2 linked regions of the Lonchura striata genome follow. The protein of the gene in region 1 interacts with the protein of each later gene in a pairwise test. Links are inferred from orthologs where the notes say so. Each region holds a gene or a part of one and is shown in the gene's direction. Other genes may lie near its edges.

What was found. The genes of interacting proteins can lie anywhere in the genome.
Region 2: the proteins of VIM (region 1) and CRMP1 interact in binary tests that used the Homo sapiens proteins (3 or more experiments, as listed by UniProt). The link is inferred for Lonchura striata from reciprocal best matches to the Homo sapiens genes VIM and CRMP1.

The regions. Positions count from the first base shown.
Region 1 is NC_134603.1:136,552,166-136,560,162, forward strand, and holds the start of VIM (vimentin), read left to right. Parts: upstream 1-4,939; 5' UTR 4,940-5,013; coding exon 5,014-5,555; intron 5,556-5,735; coding exon 5,736-5,796; intron 5,797-7,997. UniProt on the Homo sapiens protein: Vimentins are class-III intermediate filaments found in various non-epithelial cells, especially mesenchymal cells. Vimentin is attached to the nucleus, endoplasmic reticulum, and mitochondria, either laterally or terminally.
Region 2 is NC_134606.1:12,496,755-12,504,145, forward strand, and holds the start of CRMP1 (dihydropyrimidinase-related protein 1), read left to right. Parts: upstream 1-4,344; 5' UTR 4,345-4,492; coding exon 4,493-4,864; intron 4,865-7,258; exon of another isoform or gene 7,259-7,391.

The DNA.
Region 1 (7,997 bases):
TGCTGCAGGAATTGCAATCTAGTGCTGAGCAAGTCCAAGATGGTCAGCAGTGTGGCAAAGGACAGAAAGAAGCTACACACGCTATGCATTTTGCATAGATTCTCCTGAAAACTTGAGCTGCTTAAATCAAATATTTAATCTGATATTTATGATCCTTATAAAGTGCCTATCATGATCCTTGAACAATTTCTTGGTCTTTGATAATATACAAATTTCATGAAACAAGAATGTGAAGAGATAAAATTTCAAATTATCTATTTTGGGGCACCCAAAATCAAGACTGAGAGACTTTGTGTATTCTACAAATTGGTTCTGCTTAAAGAGTTTCAGGTTGAGCATTGAGCCTTAAACTATGCCAAACCTCTTCTCAGTTTGGAAAACTTCATTCTGTACGTCCCAGTCATTGCTAACTATTGCTGCCATTCAGTGCTATTGCTGTTAAATGCAATGAGACAGGGTGTCATTCTTAATTTGATTTTTTTTTAAGGTATGGATTATATAAATTACTATACTTGTCATAGAGCTTAAAAACTTCTCTTCTCTTCTTGTTCCTAGAGGTGTGCATGGTGTTTGAGACAACCTCAGGATGCAGGACTGTAGTGGCTTTGAAAATGAGCAAGCCATTTGGTACAGAAATGTCATATTTTGATACAGAAAGCTTCCTATTCTGGCAATTATAAACCATAGTAGAGAGGCATTTAAGGCATGACAATAATAATTCTTTGGAAATGTAAATTGTGCGATGGGGTAGCTTGACTCATGTCCAAATCACTTCCTTAATTATGAAACCCCTGCCAGTTTCATATAGTTCATTATACATTAAAATAGAATATTTTAGACAAACTTGTTTAGTTTTGAGTATAGAGCCTAGTCATTTACTTGAAAAAATCAGCAGCTAGTCATACTAATTTGATATGCTTTGCAACACTGGTAATGACAATAGGCAACATAATTTTTAAAAAGATTTCATAAAAGAATTTGCCAGTTTCTTTATCAAGACAAAAATTAGTCAAGGAGGTTACTCACAAGGGGAGAACTCAATGCTGGAACATTTAGATGTTCTGCAGCCTGGTGATATTCAGAAATCCAAATCAGCTTCTCCTAGTCAGAATTCAGGGAGATGGGTTATTAGGGCTCAGAAAAACCATAACTTCCCTGAATGCACTGGCCTTTCTTGGGGGCTCCTCCTTACACTTGGCTCTCAGCTAAAGAGAGGGACTTATCCTAGCTGAAGATTAGAGCCAGAATCCCTTTTTTTTTTCTTTTTTTTTTTTTTTTTTTTAATAGGGATCTTTCTGTTTTCAAAATCATGGCAGTCTCCATGTTTTTAGGCCAGGTTGAAGGTTTTCTTAGACAGTGAAAGCCACAGCAGTCACTCAAGTGATAGGCCACAGCACTTACTCTGGCTGAGCACTACAGAGTATTCCTCCTGTTCAATTGTCTGTAGGGTGTTAAGGGTCTTTTATTTCCTCATGTTAAAATGTGTCCCCATAGCCCAGAGTTTGTTTAATAGCCATGGTGCAGAGGGTGCATGAAGGAATGCCTCTACAGCCCCATGTGTGCCTGGGCTTACGAGTGCTGTATGGTACTGACACAAAAACTATTGAATTTGCATGGCAGGATGTGTTTTCATCGGTATTTAATATTTATGTGTCTTTCTACACATCCTGGAAGCAGAAACTTTAGAAAAAGGGCATAAATCTGATTAAGAAAAGCATTCACATCTTTTTAGTCAAGATTTATGTAACTGGAAAGCACATTCAATATTTGGACTAAATTGTTTTCACTTCTTACTGTTTAAATTAAATGGTAAATTAAAAAAAAACTTAAAAATAAGTGAATGCTAGTCTTTTCAGTGATGTTTTCAGACCAACAGATATTTTTGCAAGGAAATAATAGAAATTCTGTCATATGGACTTTTTAATTTTTACTACAACTGATATGCAGTACAAAACCATTCAGGCACCCGTACCTTCTCTTTATGCATATCCACTTTCCCCATTAATGAAAGTTACACACAGTACAGGTGCCTTTTTGCTAAATATCTAGGACTTGATTCCGTACTTCATCTTGGCAGCAAACGAATACATAATTATGTGGGGGGAAAAAAAAGGCCTCAAAAAAAAGGCATAAAAGAAAATTTCAGTGTGAATTGAAACTCTTGTGATAAAACCTGTTTGATTTTTTAAGAGTGCCATTGGCTTAGCTATGATCTACTTCTGTAGAGGTGATGCTTTGGGTTGGTCCAGGGCATGACTGTGCACTGGAATTGCAAGGGAAGGCATTGCAGTAAACAGCACAGATAACAGCCAGTAGTTTATGAATAATCCCCAACGTGGTGCTGAGTGATGCTCTTAGCTGTCTGTTCTTCATGTCAGAAGTGGTCAAGATCTCCATCAGCCACTGCCTCTGAGAGTCCCATAGAATTTCCCATGAAACTAGACATTACTGTGATTTCATTTCTATTCAAAGTACACTCTCAGTGATGTTTATGGCTACATTGAGACAGTCTGTTCTGAGAAGGACAGTAGAGATCTTTTTGCATTTCAAGGGAACATGTTTTAATCCCCTAGGGAGTTTGTAATGCAAATGTGCATTAAATTTATTACAGCTTACAAGAAACTTACAGCTTCTTCCATTTGTACATCTGTGTAAATGCCAACCAGCAAAAGGCACTTAAAGGTTTACTGTAGTCCCAACAGTCAACAATATCTGAACATTTCATAGTGAGACACAGAAATGAGGTAGGTGGCCAAGAGCACATATGCAGCAGTGATATAAACATATGGAAATTACACTTCAAATATGAAGTGGGTGGGTCATATTTACTACAACAAATACCTTGGATTTTAGAGGCAAAACATTTTCTGAATGAGGATGATTCTTGCATATGTGTGCCACTGAGGGTTTTGTGAAGTATAAGTTGTGCTCTGTTAGGAAAACAGATGGGGCACCAGTACACCTTTAAAAAACAGTCTAGCAAAGCTATCAGTATTTCTGAGTACAGCATCTTTAATCCATGAGATTGTTGGTTATGTGCTGTTTTGCTTTTTGCCTACAAGTATGTACTTCTGTGCCAGGCCTCTCACAGGCTTACAGCTCAAACTTGATGGCTTAAATAGAGGTCTGAGAGGTTTGGGCAGCAAACAGCGTCCAGGCTGGGCTTTGGGAACCCTTAGCCTCAGGAATGCTGTGTGACCTCTGCCTCTTATTCAGTGGCTGAATGGAATGAGCTGTAGCCTGGGACTTATACTACAAGCACTTCAGTAGCTCAACCTTGTCAGCTTCCTTTGCTTGACTAAGCTTCAGTGAACAAAAGAAATTAAAACCTCAAGGACTTACATTTAGATACAAACTGCATTTCTGCACTTCTGGTTGCCAACAGAATGAAAGCAAAGCAGAATTTCCTTCAAAAAAACAAGATCTTTAATAAAATACATAGGTTCACATCCTTCCTTGTAAAGTACATTACCTGAAGTCAACAGTAGTTGACTAGTGGGAATTGGGGTGTGAAGATTACCTTTTTCTCTACCCACTGTTCATGTTCAGGTTTATCACAACTTCCAGAGAAGATATTTCTTCCTGCAGGACTGCAAGCTAAAAAGAATCAAAAATCAATGGTAGTTTTGCATCCCCGAAGTGCTGAAGCAGTACATTACAGATAATGTCTGCAATGTATCACACACTTCCCATAGCAGAGAAAAAAGATGCCCCTTACCTGATGCATCAGTGCAAAATCTCAGAATGTGAATCGTGCTTTGGCCACTCAAGTTTAAAGTTTTCTAAATGACAGAGATTCTGTCATCTTCCTTAAGCAATCTCTGAATCCATGCTGAAACAATCTGCTACTAAAAGTTTTTCTCTGTTAACTTTTATGCCATTGCTATTGGCCTGTACTACCTACATCACTCTTTTCCATTGCTGGTAGTCCCATTTTGATAGTAAAATTGCTCTGAAAACACTGGGACTTTTGTCTGGCCTTTTATTTTACATACATATTTGCAGATCATAGTTAATGAATAATTATAATTTTTCCAGGTGCTCTCCTAAGACTCTAACCATGCACCTACCAAAATGAATAGCAAAGTCTGTTGGGCACAACAGTGGAGAAACAAACTTCTGTTAAAATCTAGTCTGATTCTATCCTAGTTATTTTTCAGGAGCAAGATCCTGAATGCAGCAATCTCAATAATGTACTGTCCACACAAAAAAACCCCACCAAAAATTAAATTAGTCTGGGGATCATTGTTACAAAAATGGCAGAATTAAGCCTTAGGCATCTAACTGCTTACCCAGCTACAAGGAAAACATATTTAACCTGTAAAGTTCATGTTTTAATCATAGGAGCTGAGATTGCTATCATGGGAGGCAGCTGAAGAAAACACATACATTATTTTTCTGGTTGTTTATTTTGAAGACTTGGCAGCCCTTTGTAATACTTGGCATATTTTCTTCCCTGATCTTACTCTTTCAGAAAGCTCTTAGATATCTAGATAAATATACATCATACCTATAGAGGGTTTTTAATAGGTTATTCGGAGTATATTGCCAGGCCTGTGCCACTAAACTTGCCAACCCCTTCTTGCAGCCAGCACGCTCACTGGAGCGGGACAAGGAGACGAGAGGGGGAAATCCAGCGCCCGTTTCCGCGACGAAGATGCCGCTGCTGTCACCGCGTCCTCCCCGGGCGCACCGTGCCGGGGTTCCCCGCGGCCGCTGTGGGACACCGCCCTGCCACGTCCCGCAGGAAACCCGCCAGCCTCCCGGGACTCAGCCACGGCACAAGCTGCCGCCCACCCTCCGCGCCCCGCCGGCCGATCCGCCCCGCTCGCCGCCTTTGTGTCCGCGGCCGCCCCCCCTTCCCCGCGGGCGGAGCGGAGCGGGGCGGGCCCGGCGGGGCGGGGTCGCGGCGCCCATAAGAAGGGGCCCTGGCCGCGGCCACCGCCCTTCTTCGCCGCGCTCCCCGGTCGTCCCGCTCCGCTCCCGGATTACAAAGCCCGCACCGCCGCCGCTATGAGCATCAGCACGAAAAACTCCTCGTACCGGCGCATGTTCGGCGGGGGCAGCCGCCCCAGCACCGGCACCCGGTACATCACGTCCAGCAGCCGGTACTCGCTGGGCAGCGCCCTGCGGCCCAGCAGCGCCCGGTACGTGTCCGCCTCGCCCGGCGGCGTGTACGCCACCAAGACGACGTCGGTGCGGCTGCGGAGCAGCATGCCGCCCATGCGGCTCCACGACTCCGTGGACTTCTCCCTGGCCGACGCCATCAACACGGAGTTCAAGGCGAACCGCACCAACGAGAAGGTTGAGCTGCAGGAGCTTAATGACCGCTTCGCCAACTACATCGACAAGGTGCGCTTTCTGGAGCAGCAAAACAAGATCTTGCTGGCCGAGCTGGAGCAGCTCAAGGGCAAGGGCACGTCCCGCCTGGGCGACCTCTACGAGGAGGAGATGCGGGAGCTGCGGCGACAGGTGGACCAGCTCACCAACGACAAGGCACGGGTGGAAGTGGAGCGGGACAACCTCGCCGACGACATCATGCGGCTGCGGGAGAAGTGAGTGCCTGGGGAAGGCGGGTTCGGGCTGCCGCCGCCTCCCGCTGCCTCCCCGCTGCTCTGTCCCTTGGCGCGGGGGCAGCCCCTGAGCATCCCGAGCGGTACCGGGCGGGCGGGAGGCTGGGCGGGGGGATGTGGGGGTCCCCCGCTCCCTCTTCACCGCCGACTTGTCCCTTCTAGGTTGCAAGAGGAGATGCTTCAGAGGGAGGAGGCCGAGAACACCCTGCAGTCCTTCAGACAGGTTAGCGGTCGTGGAGGAGGGAGGGGCCCGAGGCGGTGGTGGCCGTGCCTGGGGCGGAGGGTGGGAGTGCCGGAGTTTGCTTTCCTTGCACAAAGAGGTTCCGTCAGTTCTCACGCAAGCCCTCCGTGTTTTCTTTAGAGGGATGCTGCACTCCGAGGGGAGGGGAGGCAAACTATTGTCCTGCTTTATCCAAGTCTAGCCCGTTTTACAAAAAACGCCCCAACGTGGAATCACTTTCCGATCCAATAAAAGTGAAAGGGGGCCATCTGCTCGCTTGGCTGAAGGGTATTAATGGTTTCTATGGGATTCACCGTGGAATGCAGATACAGGCATTACGGCAAGTGTGGTGGCAGCAGATTGAAATAATAGATCCCTTTGTGTTGGAGGGGAGGGTGCAGTGGGCTGCATTCTTACTAAATGTGTAATGGTGCGGGAATATTTCTAGGGAAATGTGTCTGTTATGGGCCAGTTTTTGTACAAAACAGAACTCCTTTTCGATGAATCACTGGTCAGTGCATTACTGGGCAACAGTTTCAAATTTAAGGGTTTTCATGTGGGTGTTGTCTGCTGACAAGAAGTAGACGGTAAATTCCTTGGGGCGAGGTCACAGGATTGAGTTTGCCTCCTCTGGGTGTCCCTTAAGAACGTGGAATTTAATCCTCTGTAAAACAAAGATGCTAACCTCGGAAATAAGTAGTGTAAGAGTTTAGTCTTTGTAGGATGCTGTGATGTTATCCAGTCAAAGTAAATCTATGTGACAACCAGAAACAACTGTGCAAACAGCGTTCTAAAATTCTTAAGCTCAAGTTTTCACTTGTGCAAAACCGGCTTTCAACTTAGATTAAGCCTTGTTTGGACTAAGATATTTAGGAATGCGCCTTCTCAAAACAAGGTCTCTTCCCTAAAACTGATGGTGTAAAACAGCATTGCTAGCATTCTTTCAGACTGGAAGTGACTGCCCTTATCACCAGGCAGCTGGGTACAGGCTGACTTTGTCCCAGAGCTCTTTATAGGCATTAACAGAAGTCACTGTTCAGGAAATCAGCACTTGATTGTTAGTGTTTCCCTGGGAAAGGCTTTTGACTGCAGTATATTTACAGTCCTTGAAGGAGAGCAGGTGTGTTCAAGAGATAGTGTGGGGAAACTGAAACACCTACTCCCATTCAGAGCTTGGGAATTCAGTCTTCACTGGCATTCTGGGCACAGAAGTTTTAAAAAACAGTCTGAGATACTGCCTTAATTTAAGTTTCTGGGGTTTTTTTTGGTTTTTTGAGTGCTAAGACAATTTACTGTAGTGTGAAGTTCTGTGAAGGAGCCTTGAACTTAAGTTTTAGAGAACCTCATCTATTCTGATTCATTGCTGAATTCAATTGAAGGATCAATTGACTTAAGGTTGACTTTTACATGATCTTTCATATTTAATTGGTGTACTTTAGGCATGCCTGTATTTCAATCCAGTTGAATCTTATGAAGGCTCTGGGCTTTAAAGTGAGCTTGGCTTGGTGCACATACCCCACACTCATTATCCAGCTCTTCCCTGCCTTTGGAAAGGGGTCACTCAGGAGCTCAGCCTCCAACAGATGTGTGTGTGCAGGACAGTCAGAATTGGATCCATTTGACCTCATAAGCTGTAGCTTGTCCATAAGAAATGCAAATCATTGTCTATGGAAACTACACTAAATGCATTTATGACATAACTGGTGCCTGCTGGTGTGAAAATGAAATTAAATTCACAAAACACCAAAGGTGAAATATCCTGTTGAGCTTTCCATTTTAAAACAATGCACAGCTTTCTATTATATTTTTCCACTGGAAAGTTGTATAGATTTTGATCACTTCAGCAAGTGTTTTGCTGTTCTGATGTATCATCAAAGATACTTCTTAATTGATGGAGCAGTTGTGTACTTCAGTATTTTGTGCTGAGTGATGTGCTGTATAAAGTATATGTGAAAATTCAGTGAGGCCTTTCGTTTGGGGCAGGACAAGCATCACAGTGAGAAAGTTAATGCAGCTTTGCCAGCTGGTCTAGCAGCAAGGAATAGATCCTGAGCCCAACAGGTCAGGTCCTGGCTAACATGAGGTTTGTCTGAAGTAAACATGGATGCTCAACCCTGCAAAGTGTGTGGCTTGCATTGAAGAATCTCCTAGGATAAAATCAGCGTGTATTCCAACTGCATGTATCTATGACTTGTACTTGTTCG
Region 2 (7,391 bases), on another chromosome or scaffold:
CTTATTAAGCAGGTGTAGCAGTTAGACTGGGGAGGGAGGGGTGTTTGTAAATAAATGCAAAAAGTTTAAACTCTGACCCATGACCACCCTGTCACTGGGTGTCACATTAGTTCCAGCTATGTGAGAAGCTTCAATAGTATCAAAGAGGCCACTCATGTTTTAACTATTTCATTAAAACCTTCTGGATAACTCTTCAGCAAAGATTTCCACTCTAAGACATTTGCCATTGATATCAACTGTACATATGTATTAATATTCAGTGTAACTAGGAGGATACAGAATTGTAATGAAGTCACAAAGTCTACTTGATGATCACAGATTTGTAACTCTCACAAATTATGTAAGATATGTTGACATTTTATCTTGTTAACAAGATGTATTTTTCTATGTTAGCTAAATGTATAATTTGTATAATTTTGTATATTAAATGTATGCATATTTTAAATTAAAAACATTATAATTTTATTATTTTACCTTTAAAATGGTGACAGAGCATCTGAAATACAGTTCTATGTACAACTGTGTCCATGGATAGCAACCCAGGAAGTCTCAGTTTTAGGAGGGGGACACCTGTTCTTTTAACAGGGTGAGGAAATTGTTACACCCGAGCTCTTGCTCTTTTTGGTGGAGGAGCTGCCATTCAGTTTCTGCCGAGTTAGTGGAATTAATGTGAGTTGGCAGAATACTGTGGGCTGTATCACTGCTCATGAAGTGGGTAACCTGAGCTGTCCCCAGCTTGTAGCTGTGTTTTGGATTCACAGTTCCTGTATGTCAGGAGACAGTTCAAATCACCAATCCATGGGATGGGCTTTTGTGGGGGGAGATACAGCAGTCCCACAGAACAGACAGGGAGACTGACTCAGTGACTTGGCAACTCCAATCACTCCTCTGGAAGAATGAGAACTCGTGTCTCTCACATTCATTCCCTTTGGACCGTTCCTGCCTTTTTTGGTTCAATGATTCTGTTGTAAAATGCACAATAGCAAAAAATAGGTGCAAAATGCACATTGCACACTCTCTAAGGCCCTGCACCAGGGACGTTCTGTTCTAGCTCATGATGTTCATGCTGTTGAAAGAGCTCACCTACAAACAAAGCCAAGGTATGTGACACCCTTCTTGTTGGGCTTTTATCCAGCAAGATGTTGCAGGTTTTGTAGTGTGAAGCAAACGTGTCTCTAGGTTTGCTGCTATCACTCATCTAGTCTATTTGGAATAAAGGTCCTATAGGAAGACTGTGCATTTTCAATAAAGTTCAGTCCTCTTTTCATCAAGCAAGGTCAAAACAGGATGAGATGCACTGTCTGGAAGAGAATATACCAAAGCAATATATTTCTCCAAAGCTGCATACTTGATTTTAGGCAAACTCACAGGATGCCAGGGTATCAGGATGCACTTGAGTCTGCTTCCGTAGCACCTAAAATTACTCTTAATTAACAAAGGAACAGTCTGCATCTGGTGACTGAGAATAGTTTTTAGCAAACTAAGGCCTATGGTATGAAGAAAACCCAAAACATTTAAAAGCAAAGACAGACTCTGATATTCGTTTATGCTTGTTTCCAACTAGAAAGTTTAATGCTATTTTCTAAAGCACTGATCTGACATGTTCTCTGAGTCTTGTGATCTCCTTATGTATCAGAATTAATACGAATATCCTGACTTAATACTTAAAAATTAGTGCTCTGGAAACCTGAACAGTGTTATCTAACTAGATCCCAAGTGTAAACAGAGTCCATCTTTCTTAGCTTTATGGATGATAAATAAAAATGCTCTTCATTTAGCAGATGTATGCACTATGCAACATATCAGACCTACTATGGGACCTTCAGAAGTTTTTATTCTGGAATTAATCTCTTGATTGCAAAGAAGTAACTAATAAAATGAATATTTTTCCAGTACTTGCAAAGACAGTCAAATTACACATCACAATCCATGTACCACCTATATATTTCACTAACTGACACTATTTGGTGTCCTGTGTAGAAAAAATTGACCTTTTTTTTTCCCCAACATGATCAATAAACCTCAATGTTACCATCAGGAAAAAAAATCCCAGTATTTTCCCGTAGAAGAGAAGACTAAGGAAGCAATGAAACAATATGAGCTATACTTCTTTTTTTTCCACATGCACCAGTGAAACCGCTCTATGATATTAATGTGTTAATGTGGAAATATGGTTTATTAAGTGAGCTGTAGAAACCTGGGAAATATATGCTCATAAATGGCAGTGGACTAAAATCAGTGTGCCGATAACCAATAATAAGTGAAATTTTGACTATCTTACTAACTCTGCTCATGTGAGCAGCACCTATAGTGTTGAATGCACACACAGCATTTAAGACAGCAGGTCCCACTGGATCATAAGTGCAGAAAAGAAAGATGTTTTCCTTTGATGTATTTTGGCATTACTCAGGTATGTCACATCACTGTTTTTTCACATGGTTTGGGTCCATGGGTAGTTGTTGATGAGAAAGATGGTTATCTAGACTAATTTCTGATTAAATCCCAGGGACCTCCCACTTTTCCTGCTTTGCAATTAGTAACTTGCAATTTTTCTCATGCTGGGACCATCAGGTACTCCTGTGGACCAAAGACAACAGTGCAGTGTGGTTGGGCTTGTATTCAAGCATCACTTTGTACATGAGCAATAAACAGGCCTTGTGATTGATCCACTGCTTCAAACTGCTTAGTCACATAATCAATCTCAGACCAGTTTGTTACAATATATTATTTCAGAGCAACAGAAAATGTCCCTTATGTAACTACTGGCACAGTCAAAGCCTGTGACAATTTCAGATTGTCTGCTGGTGCAGGAGAGGAGTGTCCAAGGACTTGTGAATTTGGTGGGTGATCTCAGGCACCAAATCTCAGGAGGATTGTAAGGCAGGGCTGTAAGGATGGACTTTCTGAAGCAGGCTGTGCAGAGAGCTGAGGGGAGCACACTCTCAGACTCTCCACTCCTCCTGCCCTTGCTTTTGGCAACTTTCTCCCACAGTGAAGCCAAGCCCTCCCCGGTTTGTCTCCTTCTGCCGAGGCCAAGTCAGACGAGCCCCGTGCGGGCCCGGGAGGCTCCCGGGGTGCTGAAGGGACAGCTCCGGGGGCGAGCCGCGCTCCGGCCGCGCCGGGGGGATCCGCGGGACACGCTCGGCTCCGCGCCCTCCTGGGGGCCCGGCGGACACTCGGGGCCGTGGGCAGCGCGCCCAGGCCCGCGGAGCCCGCGCCCCGTGCCGGCGGCGGGGCCGCGGCTCAGGCAGCGCTCGGCGCGATCACTTCCGTGTCAGGGCCGGCACTGCTGCCTGCAGCCCCCGCCTGCAGCCCCTCTCCTGCAGCCCCTCTCCTGCAGCCCCCGCCTGCAGCCCCCGCCTGCAGCCCCTCTCCCGCAGCCCCTCTCCCGCAGCCCCCGCCTGCAGCCCCCGCCTGCAGCCCCTCTCCCGCAGCCCCTCTCCCGCAGCCCCTGCCCCCGCGGCGTGCGAAGGGGTCGGGCGCCCGGTCCGCGCCGCCGCAGCGGGAGCGGCGGCCGGGGGCGGCGGGGCGGAGCAGAGCCGCCTCCACCCCCGCGGGCAGCGGCTGCTGCGGCAGGGGCAGCGCCGGCCCCCCTGCCCTGAGGCAGGGGCTGCTTCTGCTTCCTCCCACACTCCGGCCACCCCTCGCTCTTCTCCCCGCCGCTCCCCCTGCGGCCGCAGACCGACCCCGAGCGACGCTGGCCCATCCCCCGCCCGTACCGGGGGCTGCCGCGGCCGCGCCCCCCGCCCCGCCCGGGCAGCGCCGCAGCCTCTCCCGCGGAGGGGGCGGGGGCAATGTGAGTGAGCAAAGTGGGAGAAACTCCCTCCGGCTCGTCCCGGGGGGGCTGGGGAGGTTCGGAGCTTTTCTCTTTTTTTTTTTTTTTCTCTTTTTCTTTTCGCCTCCCTTTTATTCCAGCCCCGAAGCCACGCAGCAGCGGGTGACCGGCGCCCTCCCGCCCGCAGGGCAGGACCCCGTTGGCACCGGCCGTGTGTGCATGCGGCGGGCTCCCTCCCTGCCTCCTCCCCCTGCCGCCCGCCCCCCGGATCATTCTATACCGGGGGAGCAGTGCACTGCGGTCCCTGCTCGGGGAATCGCTGCTGCTCTTCCCATTCGTCAGGGGCTTTCCAATCACCTGCCTCTGCCACCCTCTCCGCTCCGCTCTTTGTACTTTATTTTCACGTGCTCTTTACTAACACGGCTATTTTTAAATCCCGCTCGGATTTATTTCTCTCTCTCTCTTTCTTTCCTTCTCCTTATTTTTCTTTTTTCTTTTTTTCTTTTTTTTTTTTTTTTTTCCGGGGGGGTGGGTGGGGGAAGGAGGTTAACGTTTGCAGGTCCCTAACGGAAAGATCCCACCAGCCAACCCAGCTCCACCACTGCTGCATCCATCCATTCATTTTTATGTTCACCAACAGCCTATCCCGGTAGTGGAAGGTGCAGAGAAGTGGGAGGCAGGGAGAGAGCTAGAGAGAGAAAGATACGGACAGCGAGAATGGCCGAGAGAAAGAGGAACTGGAATAAAGAAGATGACCTGCCTGTGTATCTAGCTAGGCCGGGCACGACAGCTCAGACACCGCGACAGAAATACGGGGGAATGTTCGCCTCCGTGGAGGGGGCCTATGAGAACAAAACCATCGACTTCGATGCCTACAGCGTGGGGAAGAAGGGGTCCCGGACCCCGCGGAGCGGCAGCCGGCACGACATGCTGGACGGAGGGGACAACTACAGCGAGACCGCCAGCGACATCAGCGAGATCTCCGGCTCCGTCATCAGCTCCCCGGGAGACCGGGAGGACAAGACCCCGGGCGTGGAGATCAAATACCCCATGGGGAAGGAGCTGCTGCAGGGCCAGGACAATGGACAGGTGAGCGGGGCCCGGGCTGGGGAGGTGGGGGCCGCCGCCCCCGCTCGCTGGGCGAGCGGAGCCGAGATTGCTGTACCGAGCGGAGCCGGGCCGAGCCGTGCCGCAGAGCCCCGCTCGCCGGTGCAGGGGCAGGGGGCCGCCTTCGCGGGGGAGTTTCGGCACGGCAGGTCGGGGAGGCGCGGCCCCCTCCTCCCAGGCACGCTGGTGCTCTGGGGAGAGCCCGGCTGGCCCCGAACTACCTCACTTGGCAGAGCTTAGCGGGGCCGGAGGGGGCGACCCCAGAAATCGTTTTCCTTTGTAAGTGATGGCGATGAGTTTTCTCGTTTCCTTTCCTGCCCGTGCCGGGGGGCTGGAGGGCAGCTCGGGTCCCTCAGAGCCTCCCGGCCGCCCCCCGGAACAAAGCCGGGTCCGCTGCACTCCCGAACTCGCCGGGGAAACTCCGCGGAGCCTGTCCCAGGCACAGCTCCAGGATCTGCCCCGACCCCCCGCCCTGTCTCTGGCCCTGCTCCCCCGGCTCCCTCTGCGCCTGCATTGTCTCCCCGGCAGGGAGCGCGGGAGGCGGGAGGATCGGCCGAGACCTCTGCCCTGGGCTCCCCTTTCTGCAGCCTGGACTCATTGTAGGCTCAAGGAGGAAGTGAGCCGGTGGGCTGGCCGGCCCCTGGCGGCTGTACATCTCCATCTTAGCCCTGTCGGTGGCATGCAGGCTGGAGGCAGACCCGAGGGGATGGCTCTCATGGGATCCCGGGCTGTCATTGATTTCCCCTTAGAAAGAAATGCGGCCTTGCAGTGATGCTTCTGCCTGGATACACCCTGTTCCTGAGTACACAGCCTGGAGCCTCTGTGGCTTGTCCACACTCTTTCCACAGGCTGAACTGAGAGTTTCCACTCTTCTCACCCCTCTTCAGTTTGGGCATGAATGGGGTGCTGGTTTGCTCTGGCCTGGGGATTGCATGCAGGTGCCATGGCCTCCTGTGCAGTCCAGTGGGTGTCTGCTGTGGTGGGACACTGCAGCGAGCAGGCAGGGCTTGGTGGGACACTGTGCCTGGGATGCTGCTGCTCTGCAACGACCCCAGGGTTGCCTTCAGAGGCTGCCAGCTGCAGTGCAGTCTTCTCTTTTCTAGCTCACCTGAACTCCTGAGGTTTTCTTGATCAGGACCCTGGGGCAGAGGGAGGGCACAGCACACCCCATCTTCTAGCACATCCATGGTGCTGCATCCCCATTTTCCCTGCTTCCTAGTTCATCCTGGGACTCAAGGTAGTGAGCACACACCGCACACTGCTTCTCTGGATCCCACTGTGCTTGCAAAGTTGACCAAAGCGAGGTGAGGATGAGGTTAGAGGTAAAGCAGACAAAATTTGGCCAGTGGCTTAGGGAGATGCACTGTAAGCAGCAGATACAGGTGACCCCTGTGCAGTGACATCCAGAGTTTTTTACAAGTTTCAAACAATGATTTCTGGGAAGATGTGTCGGGGATGTGGCCTGGGTGCTCAATGGCTTTTATCTCTGTGTTTATCACAGGGGTGGGTGTGCAAAGAGCTCCAGAGTGCATGTCCTTGAGGGAATTAACTTGGGCACAGCTTTGCAGTGCCTTTTACCCTCAAGCACCATGGGTGGAGGGAGGCATTCTGTGGGACAGAGAAAAGACAGAAGGGTTTCAACTAGCCTTTGGACCTCTCCAGCAGCTGCTGATATAGCATCTACCTGGCCTGGCCTGGTTGTGTTATCCTCCGTGAGCTCCATTGGCACAGGACAGAGCAGGTGTGTGACAATGGGGCAGTGACAAGGAGTGCAGAGCATGACAGTTCTGATAGGGTCAGAGATGTTAGTGAGGACAGAGAAGGCAGTGCCACCTGGGTCAGTGCCATCAAGGACAGAGCAGGCAGGGCCATCGGGGCAGTGCAAGGCAATGCCATCAGGATTAGTGGTATGGGGACAGCACAGGGCAGTGCGATCAGGGTCACTGCTGTGGGGACAGTTCTATGGGGATAGTGCAGAGCACTGCCATCAGGCTTCATGCCGTGGGGACGGGGCAGGCAATGCCATTGCCATGTGCAGCACAGCAGAACCCACCGCCGAGGGTTGTATCCCCCGTCCCCACCCTGCGGCAACCCACGCATGGGATCCTGCCGGTGACCTCAGCGTGCGAGCGGGGCGGCGGCGGAGCCGGCGGGGCGGCGTTTCCCAGAGCCGGTGCGGGAGGGAGGGAGGCTCCGGCTGGATTGATGGGCTGTGAAGGGGGGCCAGGCGGAGGGGTGGGGGACAGGAGGGAAGGAAACGCTTCCTGGGTTGCGCTGAGCGAATCCTGCTCCGACCTGCAGCCGGGAGGGCGCTGCTGCCGCCGGCAGAGGCAGCGCTCGCCGACCCCCCCGGGAGCCGCGTCCCTGTTTGATTGCAGCCGGAAAAAAAAAGGTGCCGGGTTTGCCGGTCTCCCCTTCCTCTGGGCGACGGAACTTCGCCCCCATTCCACCGCTGTGCCGGGTCGCCCCCGCCCCGCCCCATCACCCGACCGGGCTTCGCATTATTATT